Linked DNA regions of Lytechinus pictus. The protein of the gene in region 1 binds, or shares a complex with, the protein of each later gene. Links are inferred from orthologs where the notes say so. Each region holds a gene or a part of one and is shown on either strand. Other genes may lie near its edges. The genes, in order: ribonuclease H2 subunit B-like and ribonuclease H2 subunit A-like.

Evidence for each region.
Region 2: the proteins of ribonuclease H2 subunit B-like (region 1) and ribonuclease H2 subunit A-like are in contact, whole or in part, in a crystal structure (PDB 3PUF), measured with the Homo sapiens proteins. The link is inferred for Lytechinus pictus from reciprocal best matches to the Homo sapiens genes RNASEH2B and RNASEH2A. Residues at the interface, in NP_078846.2 of Homo sapiens: His16, Phe18, Lys39, Asn42, Gly48, Ala49, Ile50, Val63, Lys64, Val65, Phe66, Lys67, His70, Phe74, Val79, His86, Phe87, Val183, Tyr211, Gly214, Leu215, Asp218, Tyr219; in NP_006388.2 of Homo sapiens: Val227, Phe228, Ile253, Trp254, Glu255, Ser284, His285, Tyr287, Phe288, Arg291, Gly292, Leu293, Glu294, Ser295, Ala296, Thr297, Ser298, Leu299.

What each region holds. Positions count from the first base shown.
Region 1 is NC_087260.1:28,502,550-28,519,324, forward strand, and holds the start of ribonuclease H2 subunit B-like, read left to right. Parts: upstream 1-7,832; 5' UTR 7,833-7,949; coding exon 7,950-8,028; intron 8,029-10,342; coding exon 10,343-10,411; intron 10,412-11,378; coding exon 11,379-11,486; intron 11,487-13,436; coding exon 13,437-13,513; intron 13,514-14,244; coding exon 14,245-14,359; intron 14,360-14,791; coding exon 14,792-14,962; intron 14,963-15,702; coding exon 15,703-15,784; intron 15,785-16,456; coding exon 16,457-16,520; intron 16,521-16,775. Other genes in the region: major facilitator superfamily domain-containing protein 1-like, read right to left, coding at 833-885, 7,173-7,359. UniProt on the Homo sapiens protein: Non catalytic subunit of RNase H2, an endonuclease that specifically degrades the RNA of RNA:DNA hybrids. Participates in DNA replication, possibly by mediating the removal of lagging-strand Okazaki fragment RNA primers during DNA replication.
Region 2 is NC_087256.1:17,235,701-17,252,475, reverse strand, and holds the start of ribonuclease H2 subunit A-like, read left to right. Parts: upstream 1-8,095; 5' UTR 8,096-8,146; coding exon 8,147-8,333; intron 8,334-16,775. UniProt on the Homo sapiens protein: Catalytic subunit of RNase HII, an endonuclease that specifically degrades the RNA of RNA:DNA hybrids. Participates in DNA replication, possibly by mediating the removal of lagging-strand Okazaki fragment RNA primers during DNA replication.

The DNA.
Region 1 (16,775 bases):
TTGCCAATAAAAGAATAATCTATGATTTCCTTGGATCAGGAAATACATAACTTAGCAAAAATGTATTACTAGTACTTAACAGACAAGGTTGAACTGTATCATTATGAACACCTGCCAAGTACATGTACTCATTTCACATTCCATAAAGAATTTCTGGAGAAATATATCTATATTTCCTTGTCACCAAAAGTGAATAATCACAAATAGCAATAGCAGGAAGCAGGTGTATGGATTACAGGAAGAGATACATTCAAGGAAATGACTGGGTTCAAATGACAATAAGATCAAGAAAGATCACATGACCAACAAATATAATGGCAGGAGCATTCACGCATTAAAAATAAAATGCTGAAAAGAGATCGAAAAATATAAACGAGTTATGAGGGCAGAGTGATCAATTTCAATTCAAAGTCAATGATTTCTTTCTGCATGTAGAACCAATCAGAAACTTTTTTTATTCATACATTTAAGCATTGCATCGTGCATGTTTCACAGAATAATTGACATGCTTCGTCTGGGAAAATTTTGAACTTTTGTATTGATGAATTGTGCTGGTGATTTCATATGCTCACTATTCCCATTGTAAACCAAGTCTTAATACTGGATCTCCTACATGTACATTCCGCATTATGGGAGGGCTAAACGGGAAAAGAGGCCGAGTGGGATTTCTTCTGAAAGACATGACCAAAGAAAGATAACAATATTCCTTTAGACATCTTAACAGAAGAAGTCAATGTTCACATTTCATTATTTTCACAGCAGCTTCAGACAATGAGTAGGATTCCAGCTGGAAAAACTTTCAAATAAGTGCCTTATTAAAAGGAAAACTTACCTGTTTAATTTGATCTTGAAGAGCGGATGGATTGTCATAGCAAAAATAGCTCCCTGATAAGAAAACAAATACGGTAGATAAAAATGGAAATTGAGCACCGGTATCTAGTATTTTCAGGTGATTAATTTAAATAGTTTCTTCTAAAAAACATGTAAAAATGTATTTGTGACTAAGTATTACAAAACCAGTAAAATATATTCAGAAATTCATCATTACATTTTATTTGATGATAAATATTCTTAAGAGATTTTCAGATTTGAATGATGTACGATATACAGCAAATTACAATAAAGATGATCCTTACATGTAGGCCCTAATGGTTTTTACAGAAAGAATTTTGACCAGCTACCCTATAAAAATAAGTGATTGAAATTTGCCAGTATATTGAAAGCTATCTTTCCCAATATTTAATTCAAATACATGTAAATGCACATGTGACAGAAAGAGGATTCAAATTCAATTAAATTTTTATGGTGAGATATAAACCAAAAGATCCTAATGAACAAATGTGTACACTAAATAAATTCTTACACAGTAAGTAGAAACTAGGCATTATTGGTTAAAATTAATGAGATATGATACATGAAACCAAATAGCTATTAATCACCTCAATGAGTAACTACTACATAAATAGAAAAAGCAATAAATCATAATGTCAGGTTCAAAACCAATTCACACTTCAAAGGGTGAAACCATTTCTTGAACACGCCCCATTTGTGTAACATCGCCCAAATCTAATGAGAGCACACTTATGGTATAAACATGGTCATAGCTTTGAAAATATTCACCATATCCATACAAAGTATACTTTTTTGAAAAAGTATTCCAAAAATGGCATTTAAAATGAGGTAGGATGAACTGCTCACATTTTATGAGCGAAAATGTTCAATTTTTTAGCACCCCAAATGTACTTTATTTCAGACATCCATATTTGTTTTCTCTTTGCCCATACCATTAATTAGTTACGGTATCAGATTTGTATTGCCCATAAAATTCCCTTTCATATGATATATATCTTAAGGGGATTCAATTATTTCATCAAGGTAATTTTGATATGCAAATTTATGTTAATTTCAAATATCAAATACAGACATTTTTAATCAGTTTTTACCTTAAAATCATAATTAACTACCATAATTATTGTGTGATGTGTGCGGAGGTGTATTATAATATCTGTTATATTTAGCTGTAATCTGAGACCAAAATCAAAGGTCTCGCCCCTTGGAAACCAAAATTACACATGTTTAATACTAGCAATACACAATACCATAGAGTTGCATGTAATGTGTACTGCTTCCACTATCCCTCAAGAACCCATTTTAGTCATTATATCGAGCAAAATGACTCAAATTGATATGCATATAAACTTATACTATCACTCTTTATACAGCTTATACTCAGCTTTCAAATGACACCAATTTCATAATAATACATCTTCAATCAGCCGAAAAAAATCACATCATAAATTGTTCCTATGCGAGAATTTTTTGTGCTTTTTATGTAAGGAATTTTGGGGTTTTCTTAACTATTAATCGCTAATTACAATTAATTGAAAACAGTGTTAGATTATTATAAGTTTACTCACTTCAAGTTTTGAAATGAGATCAAAATTAAGTCTCTACTCCCCCTGTATACTAAAGTTATTCATGTTAAAAAAATGTGGCCATAGTGTATATACATGTATGTGGGCAGTCATAATTGCTTCCATGATCAATCTATGAAAAAACTACAGAAATTCTTCAAAGTTCTCACACACCATTTATGTAGGATTGTTAATTTGTCATTTACCTATTTTGTTTATTTCCTTTGACTTGTGTTTTCTTCAGGTGTTTTACATTTCTGTTCTGTCTAGACTTTAGTTCATTTGCATTTCTTTTCAGTACTGCCCTTGCAGTCTGGACTTAGGTTATTTGAGTTTAATGATATTCAGTTGTCATTCATTCATTCTACTCTGAATGCCTTTCCTGTGTTTCTCTTGTCATCTTCATTCCTTCTCTATTCTCTCTTCAGGTGTTCCACTCATTCCATCCCTCACCTGACTCCTTAGTTTCTACTTCCATTATTACATAATCACCAGACATCTTTGTCATCTCATCTCATTCCTTATTGGTTTATCTTATGAATTGGGTTCTTACATTTTAGTTCGATCCTTCCATTTTCTTTAGTTTGATTGGTTGCTATTTCTAATTTAAATATTTATGTAAATTATTCTGTGATCCAAAGTTAAGCTGAGGCAAAATAGCCCAGATATTAAAAAGTGTACAACCAGACTCCTTCGGTTTAAGTTCTCTTCATTTTGCGTCTGTTTCACTTATTCCCCCTTCAGCATGATTGATTGAGTTTGATTTAGAACTTCATTTATTTTCTACCTCCAAACATATAATTTTCTCAACCTTACAACTGGTAGCAGCGGTGTTTCGAACCTTATGCCTCGCTTATCTGTTCGCCACAAACTTTCAATCATATTTCGTCAACTTTATCGTCCTCATGTTCCTGTTGGAGAAACATTTAGCCCTTCATACATGTACTTCAGTTCAGCCGTTACTTCTTGCCTGATTGATGCTAGCCAGCAGCTCGCCTACAACTTCAACGTCAATGCTGTGGCTTGTCTAGTAGGATGATGCTACTACCAGCCAGTCTTCGCCTTTAGCTCTATACGTGAGTGGGTGAAAGCCTTGCCTGAGTACCAGCTCGGATCTTCGCCTATTGCTCTTCGTGAGTGGATGAACGTTCTGCCTGATTACCAGCCAACCTTCGCCTTTTTCTCAACGTGAGTAGATGAAAGTTCTGCCTGCGAGTCAGCCTCTTGCCTTTAACTACAACCATTGCCCGACTACATGGAGTGGATGATGTCGCTGCCTATGTTTCTTCATTCAGTCTCTTCGGGCTCAACAGTCTCCCACCTTTGCCTCATGATGCTTTCCAGCCTCTCGCCTTGCTTCTCTTCGTCGAGTGGATGATGCTGCATTTTGGTCTTCATGTTGCTTTGTCCCTCTATCTTCGCTCGATGCACGACTCCTTCCAGCCTCTCGCCTGTTACTCTGTCGCCTACGCATCTAGAGTTGATGACGCTCTGCTTTGATCTTCGAAGCCAGCCGCCACCTTTTGCTCTTCAGTTGCTCCAGCCCATGAGTGGATGATGCTGTTCCCCTGGTCTTCATACATACAGTGAAAACTTTTCGCCCCCTAAGAAGGTCCGATATTCAACAACTTGATCTTGATGTCTCCATTTTACCACCAGACTACATTCTTCTCTCAAACTCAAACTTTATTTGGAACTTTTGGACAATTTATTTCCCTGATGGTGAGAACACTAACAAATCTCTAAATCTGAAAATAATGTGAACTAAGTGCAATATATGAAATCGTAAAACTAAAGATTATGACAACTAAATTTTTGAAATATTTTATTTGTATACCTTAATGCTCAAAACTATTTCAATTTTAATCACTGTATATTTATTAAAGTTTTATCAATTATATTGCACAAAGTCAGACTTAGTTCAATGTTCAATTTAAATCATTTCTTATTTTTTACTATTGAAGTTTCATCATTGTAATTTTACAAATTATACAAAATAAGTCTTTTTTATTTGTATTACTCAGTAATTTCTTTTTCCAACATTCAGTTAAAATTCCTAGATTTTTGATACCCCTAGTTTAATGTCTTTTTTAAAGTAAAGTCAAAGATTTTCACAGATATACTTTGTCATATAATTTCAGAAAATATGGCTTTATATAAATTCAAATGTTTGATTTTTCATAATTTCTGGTAATTAAGTTATTTGCTGAACGTCATATGTTAAATTTTTGTAAAGTTCAGTAGTATTTTGTCTTGCACTTTTCAATGTTCAATATTCCTTTGAGCTACCATAATTGTTTTTATCTATTTGTCTAGTGGTGCTCTCATAAGTTTTTCATTTTTTTTGTAAGTCCAGGAGATACATTTTTCCAGTTGGCAAGACATGCATAAATTTAACAAAAACAAATCTTTAATAATTTGAAAAAAATGTATATATATATTCAAGATTATAACATTTTTTTTTCTTTTCGGAAATCAAGACAAAAATTTTCAGTTTTTTGTTTTTTTCTAATTGATACGGTATTTAATTTCATGGCATGCAAGTATAAGATATACATTGAAATTATTTGCATGTTCATTTTCCACTGAAGTTACTCATATGATGCCAAAAAGGAAAAGTTCAAAATTCTGATAAAATATATATATTTTTTTTTTATTTTTCCATCCTCTCCTGGTCTTCACATTTATTATAAAATTGAATTATGTCATGGTTACGTTACTTCTTTTTAAATTCTTTTATGTAAATAATGTTAGATGTTCAACTTGTCAAATTCTGGTTTTGCAGCTTTATTTTATATATAATTTTACTTTTTGAAAATTGAGGACAATTTTTTGGAAGGAGAAAGTTTATGTAGGATTGTTAATTTGTCATTTACCTATTTTGTTTATTTCCTTTGACTTGTGTTTTCTTCAGGTGTTTTACATTTCTGTTCTGTCTAGACTTTAGTTCATTTGCATTTCTTTTCAGTACTGCCCTTGCAGTCTGGACTTAGGTTATTTGAGTTTAATGATATTCAGTTGTCATTCATTCATTCTACTCTGAATGCCTTTCCTGTGTTTCTCTTGTCATCTTCATTCCTTCTCTATTCTCTCTTCAGGTGTTCCACTCATTCCATCCCTCACCTGACTCCTTAGTTTCTACTTCCATTATTACATAATCACCAGACATCTTTGTCATCTCATCTCATTCCTTATTGGTTTATCTTATGAATTGGGTTCTTACATTTTAGTTCGATCCTTCCATTTTCTTTAGTTTGATTGGTTGCTATTTCTAATTTAAATATTTATGTAAATTATTCTGTGATCCAAAGTTAAGCTGAGGCAAAATAGCCCAGATATTAAAAAGTGTACAACCAGACTCCTTCGGTTTAAGTTCTCTTCATTTTGCGTCTGTTTCACTTATTCCCCCTTCAGCATGATTGATTGAGTTTGATTTAGAACTTCATTTATTTTCTACCTCCAAACATATAATTTTCTCAACCTTACAATAGTTTTAGTGGACAAAAATATTCTTATATAGACCAAATATGCAGCTTTTCTATTAAAAACATGAATGAAGAGATTTGTGATGTGAATGAATTAAATTTTTGATACCACATTCACAATACCTAAGAAATTGAGAGAATTAAGACTTGGAAATTTGTAAGATTAAAAAAATGTCAACTAAAATCCTTTCATCAATTCAAAGGTCAATTCTGGCCTCTGGGATCAATTCACAAAAATGGTGACGAACCAACATTTATTACCCAACACATGAACATGTTGTCTTGTCTTGTAAATACTGCACTTGAACACCTCAAAGAGGCTATAGACGTGCAGGCCATTCATGCAATCGCTGCCGCTATATACTTCTTTTAGTTAGCATGTTTTTGCTCAGCTGTTTCTTATGCATGTTTATACCTTTATACCTTTATACCGCATCTACTGGAAAAATACAGTTGTTCCTGCAGTCAAGTTTCCAGGTCTATCTTGTTGTCTTCCTATCTTGTTGTCTTCCTAGCTTGTTGTCTTCCTAGCTTGGATAAGTTCGAAAACTTTATGACTCAATCCAAAATATAGGCCTAAGCTGAATCAATCAATCTTTCTTTACCCATCATTATTCAGATAAAAAATGCATTTTGATGTTAAAAATTGGAATGTTTTTGTCATGTCAATGGTCTGATCACTCACCAACTCCTAGTCCTAGGCTAAAGAAAGGTTTTCAATTGTCTGGACGGTGATTGGAATTTTCTATGACAACAGTTGCGTTTTAAAACCATAAGTGATTTTTCTTATAAATATAGTTCCTTTAAAAAATCATAGGATTTGACGATAATCATTTTGTCAAAACATTACTGTTTTTTTTCCAAGTATTATTTTTCATGATTTTATCCATTCTATATAGAGTGGAGGCAGGATGCAGGAAATGGTTTTCCAAACCTTGTTTAAGATCGACTACAAGTACAAGTCTACATGCAATTATTTTTTTAATGTGCCATTGACACAAACAGTGCAGTGCCAGGCAACTCTTAGAGTTGGAGAGTAGGCTAACCTCACCTTAGGCTTAGTCTAGAGAATTGTTTAGTTTTACTCTCCAACTCCAGCAGAGTCCAGCACCAGGCTCTAATAATTAGCTCCTTAACTTCTTTAAAAAAAAACAACGTTAAACTTAAACTACAATGTAAGTTGACGGAATATCAGTTAAGACTTTCTCAGCTCATTTTAATGACAGTCACCCTAGAATGAAGATAAAGATATATTGCCTCAGTCTATCCTTACCAAAACTTAAGAAACAAATAAAAATAAGAATGAGGTATCTATGCAGGGCCCGTCTCGGATCACAACAAACTGTGGCTCCACAGCCTGAGAGTTCCACATCCTCATCATCATCCTGAATTTGATTCCTGTCCGGTCGTCCACTCAGCAGCGGTGCATTTTCATCATGATTCTGATCGTTGTTTTCCATCCTTACTTGATCCTGAACGAAGATTTTTAGTTTATTAGTGGACAAAAGTCAAAAGTTTTGAGTTTCCTTTTCAGCTAGCCGCGGATAGCATCTTCAAACTTCACAACATCAGTCGAGTCGGCTCATAGCTTAATGCAAATTGGACACAAATGCAAAGATATACCACAAAAGCAGCCGAGGCGAGGGGTCGTCACGTGAAATAACAACCGTGACAATATATTTTCAGCAATATTGGGGTTATCTATGCTAACTTTGGAAAGTAATAGAAACAAATGTATTCATATCATTCTTTGTTATATAATCCTATTCCGTAAATACAAATTATAATGCAGTCCCTGGCATTCATAAAATCTTGTGATTTTTATTTTTAACAGCTCTCGTAACTTTGGAAATTCAACAACGATTGATGACATGACTAAAACTTTTATTTGAAATCCAATCATTAACCTGGAATTGAGGTTCAACGAAAAGTTAGAAACGGCGCGCCACATTTGCTCGACCCGCGATCGCGAACGAGGAGTTGACAAAAACTTGAAAAAGTTAGTTCTTTTTGCAGAAATAAATCTCAGTTAAGGTTAGATTAATAAATCATGGCACCAAAGTCAAAGAAACAGAAAGGAAAGGGGAGTACCAAATGTGATAGGGATCAGTGGGTGTGTATTACTCCAGGTAAGAGTGAAATTTCAACTTTGTTCTGTCATAATCAGATAATTTCATGATGCTTAGTCCCACATGCTTGTAATTGTGTCATGACACTGACTAAAAGAGTTTCTGAATGATCCTGACGTCGACGCGAAGCTGAAGCCGATGATGACGAAGACAAAAGGAGGGAAGAGAAGAAAAAGAAGGAGAAAGAGGGAGGAGACGAGAGTAAAACATTGTCATTGACAGACTAGGTCTAGGAGGTGGAGAGTCATGCATATTACTGAAGAAAACATTGTCAATGTCATTCACTCATTCAGTCATTGTCATTCTCAATCTGACGTCAGTCATTGTTTTGACTTTGTTTGACTTTTTTTTTTTTAAGGGAGGAATTCTGGAAAATGAATAGTATAATGGTGGCCTTCAAGTCTTCGCACCTAACAATTTGAGTTAAGATTTAACATGAATTACTTTTTCTTTCACAAAATCTTTCAGTTAATAATGTTCCTTATAATATTAAGTGTACCAAATATCTCATAAAAATTTGAAAGAAATATAGGATTTTCTTGGAAAAAAACCTCAGGCTGTCATTTTCAGATTGAAAATGGTACCCCATGTCTTGGCACCCATTCACTTTGCACACGATTCGGGGAATTTGATGAGAAAGGCTGCATTTTGAGGCCGTCACATGAAATGCCCAAACTTCATTATTTTTCCACCATTTTGAGTCAGATTTTTTAATGAATATCTGTCTATGTATTGCATGGGTAAAGTCTGTGTTCTTTGCGTATCTTCTTTTACTAGAATCGCGCAGATACGCATGTGCGCAGACAAGGGGGACTGCGCAGACTGGGGGGAACTTTCCATAGATCTAGGCCTAGACTAGTGAGTAGAAGACGCTTGGTGCAGAAGAAAGTGAGGTCGGATGGGGGAGAAGAAAAAGAAGTCTCCAATTCAGGAAATATCTCCCATTATTGGAGACTGGGTATACAAAAGGAAATACACTGTAGAATCTAATTAAAAAAACACGCGCATCATATGCATCTGAAAATAATTTCAAACGCTTAAAACTTTGCGACATCTTTCCAAAGGGAACTTGAATTTTTAAAATGATGAAAAATGGTCAAAAATGCATTTTTAAAGTCTCTATATTCTCAGAATAGCCCATCAGTGCTTTTGTTGTTTTATCAAAGTTCTCATAGAAAACACACTTTCGGTAATGCGATACCATTTTCAAGTGACCAAAATATTTCACATGCGAAGAGGGGTCCGATGGGAAGCTGATATTGTAAAAAATAACAATGATTTCGGCAAAATTTTTACAGGTTTATATTTTGTAGGTATTTTTGTATTTATGGTAAAAGTTTGGTGAATTTTATGAGAATAATATATTTGATATGATTAAATTCATGAAAAGTGTCTGGTAATACAATCCACTACCATACATCACTAGAGGCACATGGCCAATATTGGAGACTGTCTCCCGAGAGAGAGATTATCTCCAATATCAGAGACTTTTGTAAAGAATTGGGCTATCCATTTTCAGAGACAGTCTCCAGTTTGGGAGACCAATTTCCTTTGTTTACATTTGCTTCAAAAGGATTTCCTTGGCGGCAAATAAAAATGTGATAAGCAGATTCCTCATGAAAAATTACCTCTTTTCACCGTCTACTTTTGTTTTGATAAGGATTTTTGTTGTCATCCACACACAAAACAAATGGGCTTCTGACCTTAGTGAGACAAAATTTTGGGTGGAAAAAATTATGCTTTTGTTGGTGTTGTTTCTTTTGTTCTTTTGCAAAGCAAGTCTCTAATATGGGAGATTATCTCCCACATTGGAGTCTCCCATATTGGCTGTACATGTATCAATCAATCTGATAGGATAATTTAAGTCTGGGAACAACATTTAACGTCACCATCTGAAAGACCCGACCAGAGCTCAAATCTGTCAATTTTTAATGGATTACAGGCACATATCAAAGTGGTCAGTTATCTTCTTTTTTTTTAAATGTAGTCTTGCCGTGAAGCCAAGATCTTGGGCCTGTTGCATAAAACTTTTGCCATAAAAAACTCTGGCAAACAAAATTACACAATTGACACTTAACACAAAAACTTTCAATATGCAACAGGCCCCCATTTTCTGTTTTTACTTTTGTGTAGTTTTATGTCTAATTGGAAATGCCAAGATTTTCAATATGACATCCCTATGTTTCTGTTTCATTGATATATCATACATGTATTTAATTTTAAATAATCAAATTGCTGTGATAGTATACTGAAAAACCTCTCACACAAACTAATGATTTGGTGTTTTTTTTACCTTCCCTTTCCATTCTTTCAGAATCTTCACTTGATAGTATTGATGGTTGCCCAGATCCAACTTTTGTAAAGCTGAGGCACCCTAAGACAGGTATAAAAATTAAATTGTATATATTTAATACCTTTTTATTTATCATGTATTTTTTTTTCTTTCCTAAAGCATGTTTTCATTGACAAGTTCCTGTGATGAAGCAGAATTCCTGCAATTTCATTGGTCAAGAGCAAATTTGTCATGAATTTCTGTGACTTTGTATTGTTGCAGACTTTTACGAGCAAACATTTTTTTTAAATCGCAAAAATAAACAAGGGAATTCTGAATATATAAGGGAAAACACTTCAAACAATCATATTTTATAGGGAAATGGTCATCATTATGCACCATTAAGTTGATATACGCACCACTGCCTTTATATTTAACATCTGGTGCTACACCATATTATGCCTGATCATCGAACTGTTAAATATTTCCATTCAAGCAGAGAGATCCATTTATTTTCATATGAATTTTTGTATTATTCTTGCTTGTTTGTATTAGTCTTGGTAGTTTTCTCCCAGAATAATTAAAGTCTGATTGGTTAATATTAAAGATAAACAATGTTTATTTATGTTGTCTTGATTTTAATATTTAAAGTAAAGGGTCTGTATTAATCAAACTTAGATTTTTGGTAGATCCTTATTCACTGTTGTATTATCTGTCTGGTAGTATACAGTGAGTCAAAAGTGCATTAGTGACCACCTCTCTAAAGCAGCCACCTGCCTTTTTTAGTGACTTCTAAAACAAATTTTCTTGGGGGCAATTTTTGTGTTTAAGAACCTGTCTATAGCAGTCAAGTGCATATGTGTTTCCCTAGGATGGTTACTATAGACAGTTTTCATGTACTTATTATGTACTATGTAAATATTGGTATTATATGGTGGTGAATGTGGAATATAAATGAAATAATAATAAATAAAATTTTTAAAATCAAATAAGATCTTAAAAATAGCATGGACAAGCAGTTCTAGGCATTCTCAGCACCGATTATGAAATGGCTTTATAATGTTTTTTCCACCTGCAGAGAATGGAGCGATGTTTCTATTCAGCAGTGACGGAACGGGTGTTTATGAGGTGATGAGATTCAAACGAGACTTTGGATCATGGTTCATTAATGATTCAGTCCAACAAGGTGAAGTATTTCAAGAATGATGATTCAATCCTAAGTGTATTGATTACAGGTGTTAACTTGAGAGCCTCAAGCCCAAGGGCCGGTTTCATAAAAAATAATTAATTTGCAATAATAGTTTAAAGCTACTGATTCAATCCATCAATTTGATTGGCTGAAAGTAAACCTGTTAAATGGTGCATTTATTATTGTGACAAATCTTTATAAAACAGGACCCAAGAACCTGTTACATAAATCTTAGCAATTGATTCTACTAGGCCCGTTTTGAAAGTCCATTTTTGATGCACGTGTACACGGCGTGTTTTTCGGTCGTGTACACGTTGTAAACACTCTGAGAGCGAGTTGTTTTCATGTCGACACGGACCTGCATCAACATGTCATTAAAAAGGGGGTCTATATAGCCTAAGTCACGGTTTTAAAGCTTACCAGAGAAGTTTGAAGTATCAATCCACAAAAATTGGTGCAAATTAAAAGTTTACTCAGCTTAGCAGCGCATTAAATTAATAAAGAATGCAAAAGAAAATCAGTGCAGGGCCCTGCTAGCGCCGACGCTCGTTGGATGCGCATTTTGTATACTGTACCGTACGTGCATGCACAGATCGCTGCAGAATTAAGTGTAACTGAAGTTATCGATTGATTTTCATTATTTTGTTGCCAATTTGAGGAGCGTTTGTTTGTAGGCTTGTAGCACATGTGTACGAGCGTATAACACGTAAGTTGTCGCAATGATCGCTGTTGCAATTGGTGATTCTCAAATTGGCTATGAGTGTGATTGAGCAACACTTTCGAGACCGGAGGCGGAGCAGACCCATTTCGTGGTACAAAAACTTGAGTCTCCAGAATGTATGTGGATTAAATCGGCGATTTTGGAAGTGAACTCACTCTAGATTAATTGAAATATATTGACATATTAGTAATTAGAATATGTGCAGTGTCTGAGAACTATGATTTAATGTGAGGCTGTGAGCTTGTTCACTGATTTTGTAGTCCCATGCAAGCTTTATGCAGATGCTACCGTGTACACGGTGATGGAATTTAGTACACGTGCACTGACTTGACCGTGCGTGTACACGTGTACACGTGTACCCGAAACGGGCCTAGATTCTACATGTATAGTTGAATTGTATAATTGATTCTGCATAGCTATTAAATAGCTTTGTGTGAAAAGCTTTGCATTAGTTCAGTAATTATATTTGCATCCGTATGATTTCTTTTGTTCTCTTTTTCTTTCCTGTAATACATATATGTACGCATATCAGAATAAGTCTACTATACTTTTTTCATTTCCAAGGGGGATCCACACTTAACAAGCTTTGCTTTTTAGTGGATCCCCCTCATTTCCATTTATGCTCTATATTATACTGTTTTTTTCTGGGTTTTTTTACGAAGTAAGAATGCCCTTCTGTAAAATTGTACTTGATTTGTATTACTTTATATTACTTTGTATTATGTTGTGAATGGAAATGAAATAAAAAGAATTGAAAAAAAAAAGAATTGAATTAATGAAATCAAACATGAAAGTCATCTTTGAGATCAATCACTTAGCTTTGTGTATTAGATCCAGGGCCCAGTTGCAGAAAGAGTTGCATTTAAATACAACTTAAAAGAAATCAATCCCAATTACAGACTTGCGATTGGTTGGAATTCAAGCTGCATTTGATTTTGTAAGTTTTGTTTGATTGCATCTCTTTTTGCTCAGGATGCTGATATAAATTGCAAAGCATACAGGTACTAGTTTGACGATTGGAATAATAAAATATATCCACTTTTCAAATTTAGTTCAAGATTTAATAATGTTTTATAGTGTTTAAGCTCACCCCTTTCAAATGATTGAACTTTCAAGTGCTCATTTTATTTTTTGTCTCCAATGCAGGTACTTATTGCAGTGTACACTAGAAAATATGCTAATTTTCAAGCTTTTTATTTCAATTGTGTTTGTTTGTTTTTTGACAGATGGATCATTAGAAGTCATAACTCCTGTTGACCCGGTATTTTTAGCTCTGCCATACTTGGTGAAATCAAATCAAGAGGTTTGTCATATTTCAATCTTAGACCTATTTTTAGTCTCTCATTTTATTAAAAAAATTATTCCCAATGCCAGTTGCGGATAGTGGGTGAGGGGTAGGAAAATCTTGAGACTTTTTTTCTTGTCAAATTCCTGTAGATGCCTTTGAATGGATGAATCGGTTCTCAGGGCCTAAATTTAAAAATAATGTCCCTTTCATATAAGTTTTTGACGATTTGGAAATCAGCGCCTTGTGGGCAGTTGGATGTGATATTGCTATTTTAAGTGTTGGGAGGTTCTGACCAGTGCAAACCTGCGTTGTAACAAAGACCATTTCAGGGAACTTAAAGGAAAAACAAACCAGCAGCACTACCTCAACTACTCAAACTGAGCTGTGTAGTCTTGTTATGTAGGCCCACTTGAAAGATGCTATTTCACTATTCAGTACTTTACTTTCATACCACGGTATTTATGTTGCCAAGTAGCAAAACAAGTACATTTCCTCTCAAAAATGATTTAGTTTCTCTATGCAAATAAAGTTATAAGCTAATTTATTCACTTTATTTGTAATAATTTTCTCAAAAGGTGTATTTTAAGACAAGTAATTTATTTATAACACACAGTCAATGAAAAACTATAAATAGTGTTGGCCAGTTTGCTCCCGCTTTAAATGAAATGTATCGGGCCAAGAGATGTTAGTTTTGTTTGTTTATAGTTGCTTACAAGAGTTTGACCATTTCTTCCCTTGTTCTGCAGAGGAATAAATACATGACCTTAGACCAGATTGTCCTTGATGATGATTACCCACAATGCATCAAGTTGCTGCATTGCTCTGGCATGTCCAACATAGAAAGAGTAGCGGAGGTCAAAGGTTAGTATGACTTCGAGTTATTTTAAGCAAAAGTAATGAACTGGCAAAAATAGTAATTATTGTATCTTTTGGGATTTCATGTAGGCTACACACAGGTAATTAATTTAATTGTGAATGTGATGTAGGGGAGAAATAAACCCTCCATTTGCTACTATACCCAAAATTACTAAAGTGCCTTTATTTTTCTTCAAATTCTGATAGTCATATATTGCCTGGAAGTTAAAAAGCTATCATCATCATTTTCATCACCATCATCATTGTCATTAGCATAGTCACCATTATCAGCATCATTATCATCAGTGGGCAATATAATACATTTTTACCATGCAAAAAAGTTTACACAAACATGACCAGCTTATTGAAAAAACACTCATATTCCAACTCATCTTAAATTTGAGCCAATTAGACGTGTATTCTGTCATTTTTATTCAGGAAGTGGTGATGTGAGAGCCTTCCGATACGACAAATCCAAGACACTGGATTGGTTGAAGGACAAAGTGGAGCAGACAGCAGCACGCCTAGGACAGACAGATATACACGTCACAAGTGGAGCACAGTCAACAACGTTTGTACGTAGCAGCAAAGAGCAAGGTGCAACAGGAGGTGAGTCAAGAGATGCCGGGGTCCCATCTTACAAAGAGTTACGATTGATCCGATCAACCACAATTATGGAAAGCCAGCAAATGCATGTTTATTCAAAATGTTTTCTACATGATGATGTACAATCATACATTCATTGTAGTTTAGACAATTCAGTTTGCTCCTCTCTGTTTACAAAGGACATTGCGCAAATTTCCTGTAGAAAAAATTATGACAATTATGTATTTCCATATAATTGAGGTTGATCGGATCAATCGTAACTCTTTAAAAGGCGGGACCCAAATCTTAAAGCCAATCCAAACCAACAGCCTTAAATGGCGCCATCTCAAGTCTTCAAATACTAATATCTAGCCAGGTTCATAACCCACAATGCAACATTCTGAGCAGTGTAATTTTATGACATAGGTCCAATGGAATGGTAGCGAAATGATATAATACTCAATACATTTATATCGCAATAACTAGGTTACTGAGTATCAAGATAAGTACATTTCCTCTCAAAACATAAGTTTCTCGTTACCAATAAATTTGGAGGCTAATTTATTCTCTGTGTTATTAATATATTATCTCAAAACATATATCTTAAGAATAGTTATTTATAACACTTATTGAGATTCATCCCACAGACCAGCTTTAAAGTGTATTTTAGGTTTGTGTGCTGTGCCAATGTGAACATGATTCTAACACCAATAGCCTAACACCAAACTTTAAGTCATCCAGAGTCATTTCTATTTTCTTTACAGAGGATTACCAGAGATATGCTGCAGGCCTAGTCTCTGATTACCTTTCTCCAGACCTGAGTAAACAACTGTTTCAACACATAGGGTAAGCATCTCCTTTCTATGCCCTTCTCTTAGTTTTCCAATTTAAACCAACCTATAAAAAGGGGGACTAGAAATAATCATAGCATTTGCAAAATGTTCTCTGGTCAACCTGTTTTTTTATATACATGTATAGGGTATATATATAAATACATATATATATATATATATATATATATATATATATATATATATATACATGTATAGGGTATATATATATTTTTAGTATTGCCTAAGCAGGAATATAGATTGAATTAAAGATTAACTTGTTTTTATGCCTTCCATCCAACGTAGATGATTGCCCTTCTTGTTCTCAATCTCGCCATAAGTAAAGAACTTTTGATGGATCAATTTTAAATTTGGTCCAAGAGTATATCTTGATCTGATTATTTCAGAAGTTATCAAGGTCAAAGCGGTTATCATCTACTTTGAAATATCTTGTTTATGTAATAACTGAATAACCCTTTGTGGGATCAACTTAACTGGTTCATGTAGACATATGTGAGTGAGGATGATCTTATTAGATTTGGGGGGTCATAAGGTCAAAGGTCACAGAGGTCATTTGACAATTTTAAAAGTTGTGTGCCTAATATGGTATTGGTCTGGCAATAGTAAAGGCATAGATTTGACTTTTGGAGAGAATCCGTCTATTTTGTTTTATTCTTTTCTTTTTCAGAATTAAAGAGGTATCTGAGAAAGTAGCCAAGGTGATTGAGAATGGTGCAGAACCTCCTATGAAGGTAAGAAAATTCACAAGGCAACGTGTCTATCAAAGGCAGCTTACTATGGTGTAATTGTAGAATATGTTTTTAGGGCAATTTGACTTTTCAAGAGGGCATTTTTTTCCATATTAAAGGGTATAATACATTATATATCCAGGGCCATTGAAAGGAAAATTGAGGCCGATCAATTGGGCATCCAAGGTCATTGCCATCAACAGAGCTGCCGTTTTTGCAACCAAATTTTGGCATTACATTTCTCTTCATAAGATACAA
Region 2 (16,775 bases), on another chromosome or scaffold:
GCCAGCAATTTTCTGTTGTAACAAGGGTCTTAGTTAACCCCAAACAAAAAGTTGAATTTGATAAAAATACAAAGCTCTAAAACAAGGATTATACTGAAAAGAACATGCAAAATTGCAAATCAAATTGCGAAATGAGAATATCATGGTATGTTGCACTCACTTCACTTGCACAAAAGAGTGATCCTTCAATAATGTAAAACTTACTTTGACCGAGTGGAGATCCTCTTTCAATGTCAAAAAACTTTGACATTGAATTTTTCATATTTCATATTGAATACAAAAATGTGTGACATCAGTTCCCTCCAGGATTTATGGACATTATGTAAGTGATATTTGAAGATACCATGTAATTTCTTACATTACTTTACAGCCAATCTATCTGGGCATTGTGGCATGCACCTGTAATCCGAGTACATTATGTAAGAAGCTAAATGAAGAAGATATAAATTGATGCAAAGGAGTGATCAAAGATTCGGGCCTAGGTCATGTCTTTCGGATGGTAACATCACAGGTCGGTCCCTGGGGTAAATAATCATTTGTGAATGATGTGTGGTCTGTAAAAACTCAATCACACACACACACAAAAACACAATTCTAATGGAAATTTTCAGTGCTAATTATCTCTATTAGTTCAAAGCAATTATTCATAGGTGGACTTGGCCTTTACCTGCAGTTTTCTACAAGATGTAACCTACATTTGTCCATGTGGCATGTGATGTTCAAATGTCCCTTTCAGCGATCAACTCATCTTAAACACAACTTTAAAAATTATAATTACCAGAACAGAACCAAATGACAAACACAAAACAATGGCTCAAGTGGGGAGAGAAATACAGTTTATATCCATGGTTACCAAAATGTGTTTTACGGCAGGTACATGTAGGCAAATATACATGTAAGGCCATTACACTTGATGATATCTGACACAACAAATGATGTTTACATACTGGTCACATCACTCCCTTGTGGAGCTCATCAATTTGTTCTACAGTCAGTAAATGATAGAACATCAGAAATTAAATTACCAGATATGAAAATCAAATAAAGGTTAACATGGCGCACTCCTTATTTGACAAACTTGAGGCCTGATGAATGTACTACCGGTAATTTAAGTGTCTTGCTGAAACATGCAATATTGGCTCAGATTTTTCAGTACTTCATGTAATTGAAAATTTCATACTTGTTACATAGGAATCGCAAATAATTTGTCAATTATAATCAATCATTATTCACATTACTTCACTTGATTTCCTGGCGCTGGCCTCTGCATTTCATTTTCTTGACTCTTGTTCAAGTTGTTCTGGTCGCCGATCGCGACGACAAAAGTCGCCCATTTTTTAGTCTGACGACTCATTGTTAATTTGGTTTGAAGTTGAAGCCGAGTCCTGGCCGAGTCAGTCCGAAGCTTGCATGCATTCAGCGCGATATAGCTCGAGAGTCAGCTGGCTCGCGATCGCTCGTGTACGTACGTACATGTACTGTAGCGCCGATGTAGAGCATGCGCTAAGAGGGCAAGAGAGGGGTTTCCCCAGCTAGCTCCTTCGTCAATTAGTAGCGCATGCGCACAGTAAAGTTTAGAAAGTAAGATGGCAGCCCCCATCGAACAGGACCGTTGGCGATAAATTGTCGGTAAATTGGCGCTGATTTGACATGTTTCCACTGTTTTTTTGACTGGTATGACATTTTGTATGAGAGATATTTGGCCGATAATTGCAATTTATCGAAAAATTATTGAAATTTACTGTAATATCGTTTTCATTTTCAAAACAACCACTTGCCCAATCGGGCAATTGACTTTGAGAAATGCTTGCCCGCACGTCATTTTCACTTGCCCCGGGCAAGCGGGCAAGTGGTTTTGTCACGCCCTGCCTAAATATATTTACCCATGACAAGAATTACTTACATTGTAAATCTATTTTCAATTTTAGATTGGCAGTCACGCAGGTTTGCCAATCACTACACAAGCTCTGCTTGAAATATGAAAAAATAAAATACAATTTACATGTACACTTTACAACTAGCTAACTGAATAAAGCACTGCCATTGTGACAAAAACAACAACTACATACATACATGTACATTTCTTGTCTTCGACTTTTAATAGGAGTTTGAAACAATGGTAGGCCTACAATGCAAAAAAGGGCAAAGTCAGCACGGAGATTCATTATTGACAAATCTTACATTGGCCACATCATACAGCACATGTATTCTTGTGTTTGATTCCTTTGTATTCAAAGAAGACGAATTACATGTAGCTCTGCCATAGTCACAGATTCTTACTAATTTGGTTAATGAGACATGAAGTAAAAGTCAATCTTGACAATCATAAAACTGCCTGTATGAACATTCATAACAGCCCAGGGGATATACTTGATACTAGGATGGTAATGCCAATTGCTATTTTCAAGGTTGAATACTGTGCTTGGGGTAGCCTCTTACAAACAAAGAAGAAAATTCTTCAAAACAGCATCCAGGCCTTGCATTGGACAGAATGGATCCATTCAATTTTTTTCATTGAAAAAAAGGGGTCGCAGAATCAAGATTTGATCAGATGGAACATGCTTCCAGATATTGTTATGAAGAAAAGATTTGACATAAATAATAACACAAAATTTTGTTTTACATCAGTTTTCTTTCAAAACGTTTCAGTAAAAAATTATGGATTGTCACACTATGTCCTTGACCTCTATCTATGGCTCTAACAAAAGTAACATTAGAGGAGTTCCATGACGCTGGCTGGAGTCATTCAGGGACTGATTGCATGAAAGGGTCTTTGCAAGAACTGTCTTTCGTATCGCCCATTTATTATTATGCGCCATGTGAGACGCATTTTCAATAAATTACCTGCAAACACATTTTATTCGACCAATTAACTAAGTTAGTAAGTAAACAACATCTTTGTTTATGAAATAAGATTAAGGTTTATCGTTAATCAGAACTGCAATGCATTATGGGATTGAAAAGGGGGCCGTTGCACACACGCACTAGCGGACAGTCCGCAGACCTAGCTAACGGCCTCCTTTGGCTTTGCAATCCCAGGCCATAATGCATTGCGATTCTGATTAGCGATATATAATATTGAATATGTGATATCTCATGAAATTTATTTAAAAGCCATTTAACAAATTTTATTTATTTATCGTAAACTGCAGAAATATCCAGCATACGCATATCATAAACTAAGATGGGCGACACGCCGACACAAGAGACAGACGTGACACTGACAGACCTGGCTTGGAAAGATCAGTCTGGACCTGTCCTGGCCTGGTCTATGCCTGGAGAGTTCATGAATTTTAATTAAACTCGAACTACACCACACCAGGCATGCACAATGACACTGCAGTCTGCACTGCAGTGTAGACTCCACAATTTTAAGACACAGGCAATGTAATGTAAATACAAAGTTTTTGGCTGTCGAATCGAGTACAGACGTGGCGAACGACCAACTCCAAACAAGCCGCAGGCTTCGGCCGGGTAGGCGAGTCAGCATCAAGCCGACTATACCGCGTACAACAGCAGCACGGACGTGACATGGGCCTGTGTCGAGCGGTGCCCTTCGCCTTCAGAAGCCGTGTACAAATTGCATGCAAAAATGCAGAGAGCGCATAGACTCACGAAAATGTACGGGCTCATTTGTAACGTATTTTCGACATCAATTCGGGAAAAATCGACACCAAAATGCAACTTACCAATAATAAGTGTCAATGTCAATGGATATACATTCCTCTCGCCTAAGAAAACAGTTCTGAAACTCGATAATCATGCTTGTTTCTCTCAAAAGAACACCACTGTTTTACAGGAGGACTCTACCCGAAGCCGACATAATTGCTTAGTTGCTTTCAAGTCGTATGTATTTATGGATCAGTAGTACTCGTACATACTGCAGCATCTTAAAGTATTTTTGAGTAACAAACAACTGGGTATAAAGACTAGTTAAAAATTTAAAGGGATAGTCGACGATTCGTATTTTTTCTCAGCCGAGTCTAAATCATGTTTTTTTTATCCGGGGTTTTGATATGTGCATTGTGCAATGTAACAATTTTATATATTTAGAGGAATTACCGCTGATCATCACATCGAACAAGCCCTAACGTTAAAATTCATGACAACAGTCTGTAAGTACAGGCGAAATTCAGCCCCCAAAATGTAAAATAGCCAAACTTATTGGTGACAGATCGATAGATTCAATGCAAAAGTAATTTTGATTAAGATAAAGCGAAATAATGAGGCCATGCACCAGCACCACCACAACCACCACCACTAAGATATTGGTACAGAACCAAAGGGCATGCAGAGATATGCCAGGGCGGGACTCGGTGGAGGGGGGAGGAGGGAGGCGGGGGGGGGGGGGAGGAAGTGATTCTCTTTGATACCTATATACACATATCAATAACCTTATTTTTGTTCTTTTGTACTAGGCTATTTCAGTCTGATGCAGTTATGCCTATAAAATATATATTTTAGTGCTACTTGGATTCCGCGCACAAACTCGCATACATTATTTTATGCAAAAAAAAAATCATGATTAATTTTTCGATCAATCAAAAGCAGAAACTTGTTGATACTGGGAAACAACAGAAAAAACATATAGCTCATTAAGTGCCATATTGTAACTAAATCCCAAAATAAAAAGAATTTGTTTCCTACATTGAGAAATCTAATTTTTCATATATTTTTTAGCAAAATCACTGACAATATTCGAGAAGTTAACAAAAAGCAATAATGGATAAACTTGACTAAAAATGAGTATTTAATGTTGTATAGACAGTTATAGTCTTGCTTATTTCACATATCCCAATCCATCTTTGTGTAAAATAATAATAACAATACTTTGATTACAGGGGCAGATATAGGATTTCGTTATGAACAACCCCACCCTCCCCCCCCCCCCCCTCCAAAAAAAAGAAAAAAATCTTTACTTCTAATCAATGATTATTTATGTCAGGAAAAAAATGAACAAAAAAAGGAGGTTTTCACTACAAAATGGAGGTCATTTTGTTCCAGGAAAAAGTTGACAAGCAAAAAAAAAACACAAAATAAGATTAAAATAAAAAAGGTCCTCACTTGCGTTTGCACGACATATTCCCCTAAAAAATATGTTTATGTCTCTCAAGGAGAGGGGGGGGGGGTTACTGGTCGGATGTGCCCCTAGCTGGATCCGTCACAGTTTGATTATTATTCCCCGCTGCTTTGAAATAAATTATTTTTAAATACTATATCACGGTTTCCGCTGTAAGATTCAGTCTAGAAAGTCCGTTTAGAATAAAACACAAAAAAGAATCAAGGAAAATGTATCCAAAAGATAGGCCTATGTCGTGAAACATACCCTTATTGGAGGCAGACAGACAGACAGACAGATAGATAGATAGATAGATAGATAGATAGATAGATAGATAGATATATAGATAGATAGATAGATAGATAGATAGATAGATAGATAGATAGATAGATAGATAGATAGATAGATAGATAGATAGATAGATAGATAGATAGATAGATAGATAGATGGATGGATGGATGGATGGATGGATGGATGGATGGATGGATGGATGGATGGATGGATGGATGGATGGATGGATGGATGGATGGATGGATGGATGGATGGATGGATGGATGGATGGATGGATGGATGGATGGATGGATATATATATAGATAGATAGATAGATTGGCTATTCTGTTGTCTGACTTGCATTATGGGGTGTGAATATGAACGGAACAAATAGAAATGAGCAAAAATTAACGTTTTTTAATATTAAAATCACTCAATGTCACAGAGTAAAGTATTATCTATCGTGATAGTACATTAAAGAATAGAAATGAAAGCGGGAACTGAGGTGAACTTATTCAGTAAAAGAAAAAGAATGGAGGGGCTTGCCAAAAATAAGCCATGCTAATTAGGGGAGGCAAGCCCCTGTAACTTAGTTTGAAAACGTACAAACAATTACAAGTTAGTATACAATTAAGGGTGACGGGAGACAATCTAAAATCACTATACAAAATATCAAAAAGTGACAATGAATGAGTGACAAAAATTTAAAGAAAATTGTGATAATATCAATAACATTGATTATAATGATAGGTATAGACTAACTAATTTTTTCTCATTTCCCTTGTTATTCAATGGTGATATTTCTTTTCTGTGCATGTCACCTATTTTTATGGGATTTCTAGAGATATATTCAATGACTAACGTTTATCAAAGAATATTTTGGTGGAATTTTTAGATAAATGTAAATATTCAGAACAATATACATCATAGCCATCTTTTGAAATCATTTGAAATTGCCTTGTGATAAATAAAAATATGAAGTACTTGTTATATTCATGTAAAATAACTGCAAAATGCAAATCATGAACCATGGTAAGAAAAACTTGACAATTTTCACTTGAAGTAAAACAATAACCTTTTCCCAAGTGCTATTTTTAGAGGTTAAAAAATATTTCAACCTAAGTCAGACGAACGAGCATGATGAGCTCACTGAATTTTATTTAAAAATAAATGTGTGTGCTTTGTCGTTATCTGGCAGTTACCATAGTAACAATCGGACACATGTCATAATGCAAAGACAGTCGTCAGATTATGACCTCCTGTCCTATATACGACAAGTTGTCCTATATACGACAAATATTGATGAAACACCTCCCAGAAAATTATAATGATTAAGATCTATTTGCGCCCCCGTCGTTTCGCTCTCTCGCACTTTAAAAATCAATGCATTTTTTTTACCTAACCAAAGGTTCAGTTCATTATTAATATGCTTTGAAAAAGGAGTGGCACTCTTAAAGGGTAGGTGTGTGATTTTTCAAGTAGTGATTAAAAAGGCGAACAAAAAAAAAAAAGAAAAGAAAAGATGAAGAAATGTAAGAAAAAGAGAGCTTGGTCGTATAAGTCCTTGTTGCCCCTGCATGTTACTCAATTTGAATGACGTACTTCATATTCAGGTTGGCTTCATAGAGATATATACTAATTAGATGTATACTAATTAGTATACATCTCTATGGTTGGCTTACCCTCCCCCTCAAACACCTTGTTGCATTTATGTCTAAACATGATTTTATACAACAAAATACCGTCAGAAAACACTTTTTAGTCTGAGGAAAAGAATATTGCGATTTTGAGATTATTTTGTTTATCACCCTTTGTTTAATTTTATGTTTTTTTTTATTTGTCTTTTGGAGTTTGCAACAAAGTATTTTGTTTGATATACAAAGATTTTTTATCACTATATAATTTTTGTAAAGATTAATTTTTGACACACTCCACTTTGTGCAGAATGTTTGCGTTTTTTGGTGGTTTTTTTTTTACTCAAAAACTAGTTTTCTTTTATTCATTTAAAAAATCAATATGAGACCCCCCCCCCCCAAAAAAAAAGCCCATCCCTCTGCAAATCAGTGACCATTCTGAAGGGATAAGTAAATAAATGATGCGTTCGTCGAGATTTTTCAGCAATGAATAGAATTTTCACAAGATGGCGCCCTTATGATTTGTACATGTACTTTGCTTCACAATAGTACAAACAAAATATGGACAAATTATCACACTGGGAAGCAGATTTTTGTTTTAAAGTATTCTTTTATTGCTTCTTCCATTGAATACAAACATAAACTGACTTCATAAGTTTCATAACTTCCTAAAATTTATGATACATCATAATAACTTCACGAATAATACCGGGCAAGGTACCAGTAAGTACTTCATGAACTATTCATTTTCCAATTCACTGAAATAATATGATACAAAAGAAAAAAGAAAATAAACACACCCGCACACATCCCACACGCAAAAAAATTATAAAATAAATCTTTGTCCTTGAGGTCCCCTCCTTCCCAACCCACCCTCATAAATTCGAATAAAATCATGCAATGTATTTTTTAAAACCTGAACCCGGATGCCGGGCCCGGATGAAATTGACAAACTCGCTTTTTATGTTATATGTTTTTTCTGCATGTTTTAAAAATGTCATCATTGTTATTTTTCTATTCACTTAAATCAGCTTAATCCAAAGGTGAAATATCTCCCCTCCCCATATCCCTCCCCACTTACCACCTATCCCTCATCAATGCAAAGTGCATTGACTTTTTCAAACCGGAAACAGAGCTAGAGCAGAGCTAAAGCGCGCGGCAAAGTTAAATAATTGAGTAATTATGGAGGAACAAAACGACACTTCCGAAATTCCTATGGAGAGTCAAGATACAGCTGCTGTTATAGATCTGACGGAGTTTGATAAGAACAATAGTGGAAATGCCTTTATTCAATCTGAAATACCCCAGATTTGCAAAGATGAGCCTTGTTGTTTTGGAATCGACGAAGCTGGCAGAGGTCCCGTGCTTGGTAAGTACCCTACGGTACGCCACGGCGCACTTACCCCGGCCCAGGCCGGTAGACTGGCGCTAACCTCACACGGCTGCTCAGTGACAGTCAGACTAGCCTGGAGGCGTCTGGGGAGTGAAAGACTTATACTGTACGTATGGTCACTCCCCTAACGCCTGGCACTGTGTCCTATACTATCCTACACACCGAGGGAAAATGCAACTATAGAAATGCGCCAAACTGCTAGTTATGTTTAGATTCTAGCTTTAAAATTAAAACTTATGTACATGGGTAAAAATATTGGTTGGCAACGTTTGGCAAAAAATAAGTGTTGATGGATTTGAAATGACGAATAAATTAATATGAATAAGAAAAGTAGAAGAGAGTTCACTTACACTTGTTGACATCGCCATCTTTGAATCCTTTTAATTGCAACCTAGTTACGTGACGCGTATAGAGGGCGGCAAAATCATGAGCGGTGCTAGATTAAAAAGTGCTAAAATGTCCCGCTTCAACCACTGAACTAGAAATACGTGGAAGCCGTGTACACCTAAGCAAAACATCGCTGGCGAACTCGATAAGTCACATGACCGCCGCCATTTTGCTAGGTCAATTGTTCGAGAACGCGCCGCGCCGTAGAAGGCAAAATGCAATATGTTTTCTCTATGTATTTCTAGTTCAGTGGTTGAAGCGGGACATTTTAGCACTTTTTAATCTAGCACCGCTCATGATTTTGCCGCCCTCTATACGCGTCACGTAACTAGGTTGCAATTAAAAGGATTCAAAGATGGCGATGTCAACAAGTGTAAGTGAACTCTCTTCTACTTTTCTTATTCATATTAATTTATTTGTCATTTCAAATCCATCAACACTTATTTTTTGCCAAACGTTGCCAACCAATATTTTTACCCATGTACATAAGTTTTAAAGCTAGAATCTAAACATAACTAGCAGTTTGGTTTTAGGTGTTAGGGGATTAGTAGTAATTAAGCACACAACATCACATGACCCATCGGCGGGAGGAACAAACACAAGACCAGTCAGCTGTACAACACACATACCCAGCACACACACTACACACGCCATTCATCATTCCATACCCAACCCCCGGTCGTAGCGGACCTGTTATAAGAGTGCCTGGATAGAATACAAGAATAAGGTAAGGCTTTCTCCCGGTGTGAAGTTTATATGTGTATAGCGAGTGTATTATTATTTATGTTATCGGCCCACCTCTTTACTGGCGACGAGGATTAAAGCGATTTTTATTGTATTTTCGGCAAAACATTTTCTTTACTTCGCCACAGCCAACGCCGTTGCAGAATCTGCGTTGGCCGTGGCCGAATATAAAAAAGCCGCCGCCATCTTGAAAATTTTAGGCTTTTTATTAATTTGAGCTGTTTGACTCTGTTTCGTCCATAATATTAAATAAAACAAAAAGTAACATATTATCTTAGTTTGAGATTTAATTTTTTGGTGGAAAAAGTTTGATTTTTAGTTCCGTAAATATACTCTATTTTTTTACCGATCGGCACTGCCGTGCTGGCCTTGAAGGAATTCAGCGGCTAGCTCGACAGGAGCTAATCGGATTTTTTTGGACAAAACATTATACGTTGTACTGTTAGGGTAAATATCCACTCATTTTGTTGACCATATATTTAAAATTTCCCTCGTTAGGATATATTTTTGTGGCCACCGAGTGTGATTAACTTTGATGAAATTTTGATTGCGTTTGACTGTGTTTACTGATGTGGTGTGAATGGATTGCTGAATATTATTGATGTTGTGAGTTGATTATTTTATTACAAGCCTGAATTTGCTTTTCTCCTTTGACCGCCGCGCTGCTGCTGCTGCTGCTGCTGCTGTTAGTATTTTTTTGTAGTAAATATATTTCTGGGTGTTTTTTGGAGAAAACACCAGAAATTTGCTGCTGCTGCTGCTGCTGCTGTTAATTATTAGGAATTTATTATTTTTGGTCACGCGTCTCAGGAGATAAGGAAATTCAGTCTTGTATTAATTAGTTTGTTGTTGCTGCTGCTGCTGTATTGAATATTTTGCTGCTGTTGCTGTGCTGTTGTATTGTTGCTGCTGCTGCTGTATTGAATATTTTGTTGTTTTATTGCTGCTGCCGTTGTGTAATTGAATTGTTGCTGCTGCTGTTGTATAATATATTTTGTTGCTGGTGCTGCCGTTGAGTGAATGCTGTGAGCTGTGCTGCTGACATTTGTATTAAATTCATATTCAATCAATTAATTATAAATTGTATAATTAAATAAATTTTGTATATATTTAGATAAATTGTACTTGTAAATATTAACTTTTGTTCAAAAAACAGAAAAAAAATAAATAAATAATAAGAATTTATTTATTTGAAATTATTTCTATATATTTTTCATATCTTTCTTTGAACAAGTGAGCGTTCGATTGTTTGCATTTTTTCTTTTCTCTCCTAAGAATTAGGAATTTTATTTTTTAGGCAAGGTAGCCTCTGGATTTTAATTTGATTACATTCTCAGGATATTGTGAGGTTAGTTCTGTTAATTCTTTTTCATTTTTTTTCAAAAAGTTAATTTTGTCCCAGATTTATTTTGATTTTATCCGCAAGACAAAGTCTTCAGGATAATTTTTGGTTAATTACAGTTCAATTTTGGAATTTAATTTTTGTTACTGATTAATTTCTACATCAAGATGGCGAGCAACATTCCAAGAATCAAAATCAACTTTTGTTCGTCTGAGGAATTGATGAGTCTGCCCGGAGTGGGTATGGCCACCGCCAACCGCATTCTACACGCGAGGGAGGCGGCTGACCTTACTCCGGATACATTCATGTCAATACCTCACATACCGAAGGCGGAACTATTAGTTTACGCCTTTGACTATGAGCCAACAACAACGGCTCATAATGTGGACCGCAGAGAAGTGCGCTCTGAAGGAGACGAGCCTTCTACGAGCGTTCCAATAATTCCATCAAAGGAGCCCCCCGTGAGCCAGGCGTTTGAGGCTTGGCCACAGCACACCCGTGCACATAGCACTCGGGGTGCTGTAGGCCAGTCTTCTCAGACACAGGACGGGGAGGCCCCCTTATTTTTCACAGGGGGGAGGCCAGGTGGCGCTTTTACTCAGCAGCCTTCGGCCTCTCCAGAAGATAGGGCTAAGTCCCTCTGGGCAAATCAATTTTCAGGATGGAACGATGGCCTGTTCCCACCGCAGGGTCCCCACCAAGTTACCCCACCAGGACCCCAGTTCCAATGCGGTCCTCGTGCCCAGGTAGCTACCCCAGCAGGACCCCAGTTCCAATTTGGTCCTCATGCCCAAGTAGATTTGCATGGTCAGGCTCCCGGTACTCAGGGTGGCCGACCAGCAATGACCAACCAAACTACCCAGACACCTCCACATAGCTTTCCACAGGCCGCTCCAAACTTCTCGCAAGCACAGTATGATGAAATGTATGGCGTGATGTTTAGGATGATGCAGATGATGCCATTCGGAGGAATTGGACAACCAGCTCCTCCATACTGCAACCCTGCTGCCGCCTACGGTGGGTATTGCCCACCATGGGCTGGAGGCAGATATCCGCCACACTACCCTAACACTGTGGCCCCGCAAACCTCTCCCCAAGGACCATGTGACTTGCAACATGGGGGTAGCAACCCTGTGTATCAAGGCGCTGGACCCCAAAGAGATGGACATGGAGGCCCAGTATACAGTGGAAATAGAAACACCACAAGGCCATCAGCAAGTCCTGGATACTTGGGGCTGCCAATAAGAAATCAGCCGCCCCGCGTCACCAGACTTACTTCGGCCTCAAGACCTGTGGTACCAGAGTATGACGACAGAAGGCCCCCTTCTAGACCAACCTCTTTGCCGAAGACCATTTCGTTCGACGGCAAGGGAAGTTGGGCGGCCTTCTATTCAAAGTTCCAACTTTACACCGAAAGACATGGCATGTCTGATGCAGACAAGAAATATCAGCTGTGTCTGGCGTTGGAGGCCGAAGCCAGTAAGTTCATGGCCCTCATCCAGGAGAGCAATCCAAATATCGCCTTCTCTGACTTGGTTACCAAGTTGGAGAAGCGGTTCGCTCTCCAGGAGGAGCCGGAAGTTACTAGGATGCAATTTCAATCGGCTTTTCAAAGCTCGGATGAAGACATCATCAAATGGGCAGATAGGCTTATGACCCTTGCAGGTCAGGCCTTCGTAGGCCTACCTGACAAGTTCGTCCAAGAACTTGTAGTGGCAAGGTTCTGCCAAGGTGCCCAAGACAAAGATGCAGGGCATCATGTCCTGACTTCTCGGCCTGGGACATTAGATGAAGCCATGACCAAGTACAAATGGTTTCAGTTTACCCAGAAGACCATGCAGAAGCATGGCCCTAGGCTGAGAAACGAAGTAAGGCAGCTCTCTGTAGGAGAAGATAAGAATGACCTCAGGGTACAAGAGTCGTCTCCTCCGGAAGCTGCCACCAAAGGAAATTCTAGCCTTGAGGCTAGAATCAGTGCTCTGGAGGCTCAGAATGCAATGTGGGCCTCCAAGATGGATTCGATGGTTGCTGCAATCACGGATCTGTCTCGGAGTACTAAAGAACTTTTGTCGGTGTCAAGAGGCCAGCCGAGTTACTCCTCCGGCCGTGCCCCTGTCACACCTGAAAGACCAAAATATACCTCCGGCCGAGCTCCGGGTACATCAGACAGGCCGAGGTATACCTCTAATAGAACGCCGGATCGGTCAGAAGGAGGCAGAAGACCATCTTCGGGCCTTCCACCAACCGATCGGCAGCGAAACTTCGCAGGCTGCTTCAACTGTGGGGAAGAAGGCCATTTCAGTAGGGCCTGCCCCAGAGGGAGATCGCCTGCTCAGAACAGACAACTTAGGGCTGTCACCTTCGAGGAGGAGGGAAATGGACAGGGATCGGAGGAGATGGGGAATCCCCGATCCGATTACAGATCCCCACCATCTCCATTCCATTAAAGGACAGCCTCATGCCACAAGACCATGGTAGCTCACGGGCACCGGACTCACAAGCAAGTCCAGGGAGCCCAAAATTCTCTGAGGTAATAGGTGTTCCTTGGAGGAATCCACCATGGCCACCAGACATTCCTGGTGAGGTTAAAGATCAAGATATTGAAGTAGTCATTTGTAGAATTATGTCTACTTCAACATTGAGTGTTGGGTTGACAGTTGGCAAAGAGCCCATTACATCTGTTTTGGACACTGCGGCAGCTGTCACCATTATATCAGATAGGCTATTCAAACGCCTCCAGCCTCGGCCGCCCATCCTTAAGCGTGTAATCCTTAAGGGGGCTGGCCGAGACATGACAATGGACGGCATGGTGGTAGGGCCTATCAATATCAAGCTGGGTGCCCAAATACTCAGCGAGAAGATTTATGTAGCTCCGATAGCAGATGAGATGTTGTTTGGCGTTGACTTGTTACGAAAACACAATGCCAATATTAGCATCCCAAATGCTATCTTAACTATGAATGGTGAAGACCTACCAATCATACAAAGAGAAGATCCATAAAACAAGGTGATATGATTGGGAAGGCTTATAAGTCTTGATTGTAGGACCTGACGTAGAACCCTCAGAATATGTCCCATTGTGGATACTCATGAATCAGGTCTATACTCTTCATCTTCTGGATCCCTGGAGCCGCTCTATTGAGGGGCTGGCCCCAGGGGAACAGGAGTTGAGAAGGTTTCTACTTAAAAAGAAATAGATTGGTACACCTTGTCGATTGATTAGACAAAGATGTGCCATTAAGTCAAAGACAAAGGGTCCCAAATGAGGCTGTTGAATCTTTTCCTGTAATGTGCATGGAAACATCCTTCAACAAAGCCAATTCATTTGAGATCCGAATAGTTGACCCAGCTGAGGTGGCAGAGGAGCCGCCTTCTGACGATTTAGTCAAGATCATGCGGAACCAATTCCTCGAGCCCCCCTGCAGGTGGTTAACATACAAGAAAGAGCCGGCTGAAGAGACTCTGTTTCTCCTCCCGCCAGAGGGAAAGTTTTTTGTGGACAAACAGGGAACTCTTCTACCATTACAGAGAAGGAGTCATCTTGATGGAGAAGGATGAGCGTGAGGTCATGATGATTTCTGAATCACTACGACATTACATCATCCAGCTTAGTCATGATCCTCCTTCAGCAGGGCATGCTGGGATCGGTAGCTCTCAGTAATATACCGATACGGCATGTCGGAAGACACTCATCTGCATATAGCCAGGTGTGCAACTTGTAAAACAAGAAAGCGACCCGTTCTGGGAGGCATCCTATGAAACGTTTTCATGAGAGCGCCCCCTTGGAATGTGTCCATCTTGAATTCAGTATCGATCCTGGTTATGGCAGATTAAAGCAAGGGAGCTCTATTGCCTCAAATAATGGGGCAATGCTACTCCCTCGCACCTGTCTCTGTCTTTTACCTTCATTGTAAGGCTATTTATTTTATATACAAAAGTTGTATTTTATATGTGTTTATTATGCTTTATATATGTAATACGGAAAATAGACGCCTATGATTTACAATTCTTATTGAGTTATGCTTTTTGTTGAAATTGGAAAATTAGATCAGATAAGTAATAATATATATATATGTATGTATGTATCGATTTAAATATTTGCTTACTTTTTTACTTAGATACATAAACAAGGCAGAGACAAGGTAAGAATATGTTTTATGATTGATAGTGATGTACAATGTATATATTGATGTATTTATGTTATATCTATGTCATGAACAAATAAGAAAAAATAAGAAAAGAAAAAAGATCACAAAGAAAAGAAAAAAAAAGATCTCAAAAGAAAATAAAAAGATTACAGAAGAAAAGAAAAAGAAAAAAGATCACAGACAAAAAAAATGAAGGAGAAAAGAAAAAGAAAACAAAAGAAGAAAAGAAAGAAAAAAGATCAAAGAATACGAAAAAAGGAAAGAAAAAGATATGATCAAAAAAAAAAAAGGAAAAACAAATGTACGTTGATGTATATTTTATGGTTTTATGTTTAGGGTTACCTTATGTTAAGTATGTCAAGTTATGCTAAGTTATATAGAAAATGGGCCACCCAATTTTTTTAGGGTGGGGGGAAGTATGGTGTTAGGGGATTAGTAGTAATTAAGCACACAACATCACATGACCCATCGGCGGGAGGAACAAACACAAGACCAGTCAGCTGTACAACACACATACCCAGCACACACACTACACACGCCATTCATCATTCCATACCCAACCCCCGGTCGTAGCGGACCTGTTATAAGAGTGCCTGGATAGAATACAAGAATAAGGTAAGGCTTTCTCCCGGTGTGAAGTTTATATGTGTATAGCGAGTGTATTATTATTTATGTTATCGGCCCACCTCTTTAGCGCATTTCTATAGTTGCATTTTCCCTCGGTGTGTAGGATAGTATAGGACACAGTGCCAGGCGTTAGGGGAGTGACCATACGTACAGTATAAGTCTTTCACTCCCCAGATGCCTCCAGGCTAAGTCAGACCTCAGGCCCAAACTAACTAAAGCCTTGGCCCTAAGCCTTTGGCTTAGGCAAAGTCGGAATAGATATGGTATGCATGGTCATGAACTATGGTAGTTGATTGTATTACCAAACACTTTTCATGAATAAGATAAGATAAGATTCATTGATTTTATTTATAGTGTATTATACACGCTTAAAACAGTAGAGACTAGAGGCGCACGGCCAATATTTGGAGACTGTCTCCAATGTGGGAGATTATGTCCAATATCAGAGACTTTTGTAAAGAATTTGGGTATCCAATTTCAGAGACAGTCTCCAGTTTTGGAGTCCAATTTCCTTTGTTTACATTTGCTGCAAAAGGATTACCTTGGCGGCAAATAAAAATGTGATAAGCAGATTCCTCATGAAAAATTACCCCTTTTCACCGTCTACTTTAAAAATTCACCGTCTACTTTTATTTTGTTAAGGAATTTTGTTGTCAATCACACACAAAACAAATGGGCTTCTGACCTCAGTGAGACAAAATTTTGGGTGGAAAAAATCATACTTTTGTTGGTGTTGTTTCTTTTGTCCTTTTGCAAAGCAAGTCTCCAATGTGGGAGATTGTCTCCCCTATTGGAGAGAGTCTCCCATATTGGCCGTGCGCCTCTACTGTAAAAAGCCGAAACAGTTCACAGACTGATTTCCATTGGGGCCGTGTGGAATATAATATATAGTTGACATAGTAAACATTTTAAAACCAGTGTTTAACGAACAATATATATGAACAAAATATGTTAACCTAAACAGAAGCATCAATGAAATATTACAAAGGAATCATTGAAAGGAGAAGAAAAAAGGAAGAGGAAGAATGAAAAGGGAGAAGGAGAAGAAAAAGACAATGGAGAAGATAACAGAAGAAGAAAAAAGAATAATAATGATAATAAGAAGAAGACGAAGAAATACCATTCTCAAAAACGTCAATAACATACAACATGAAATATCTATCGGTAATT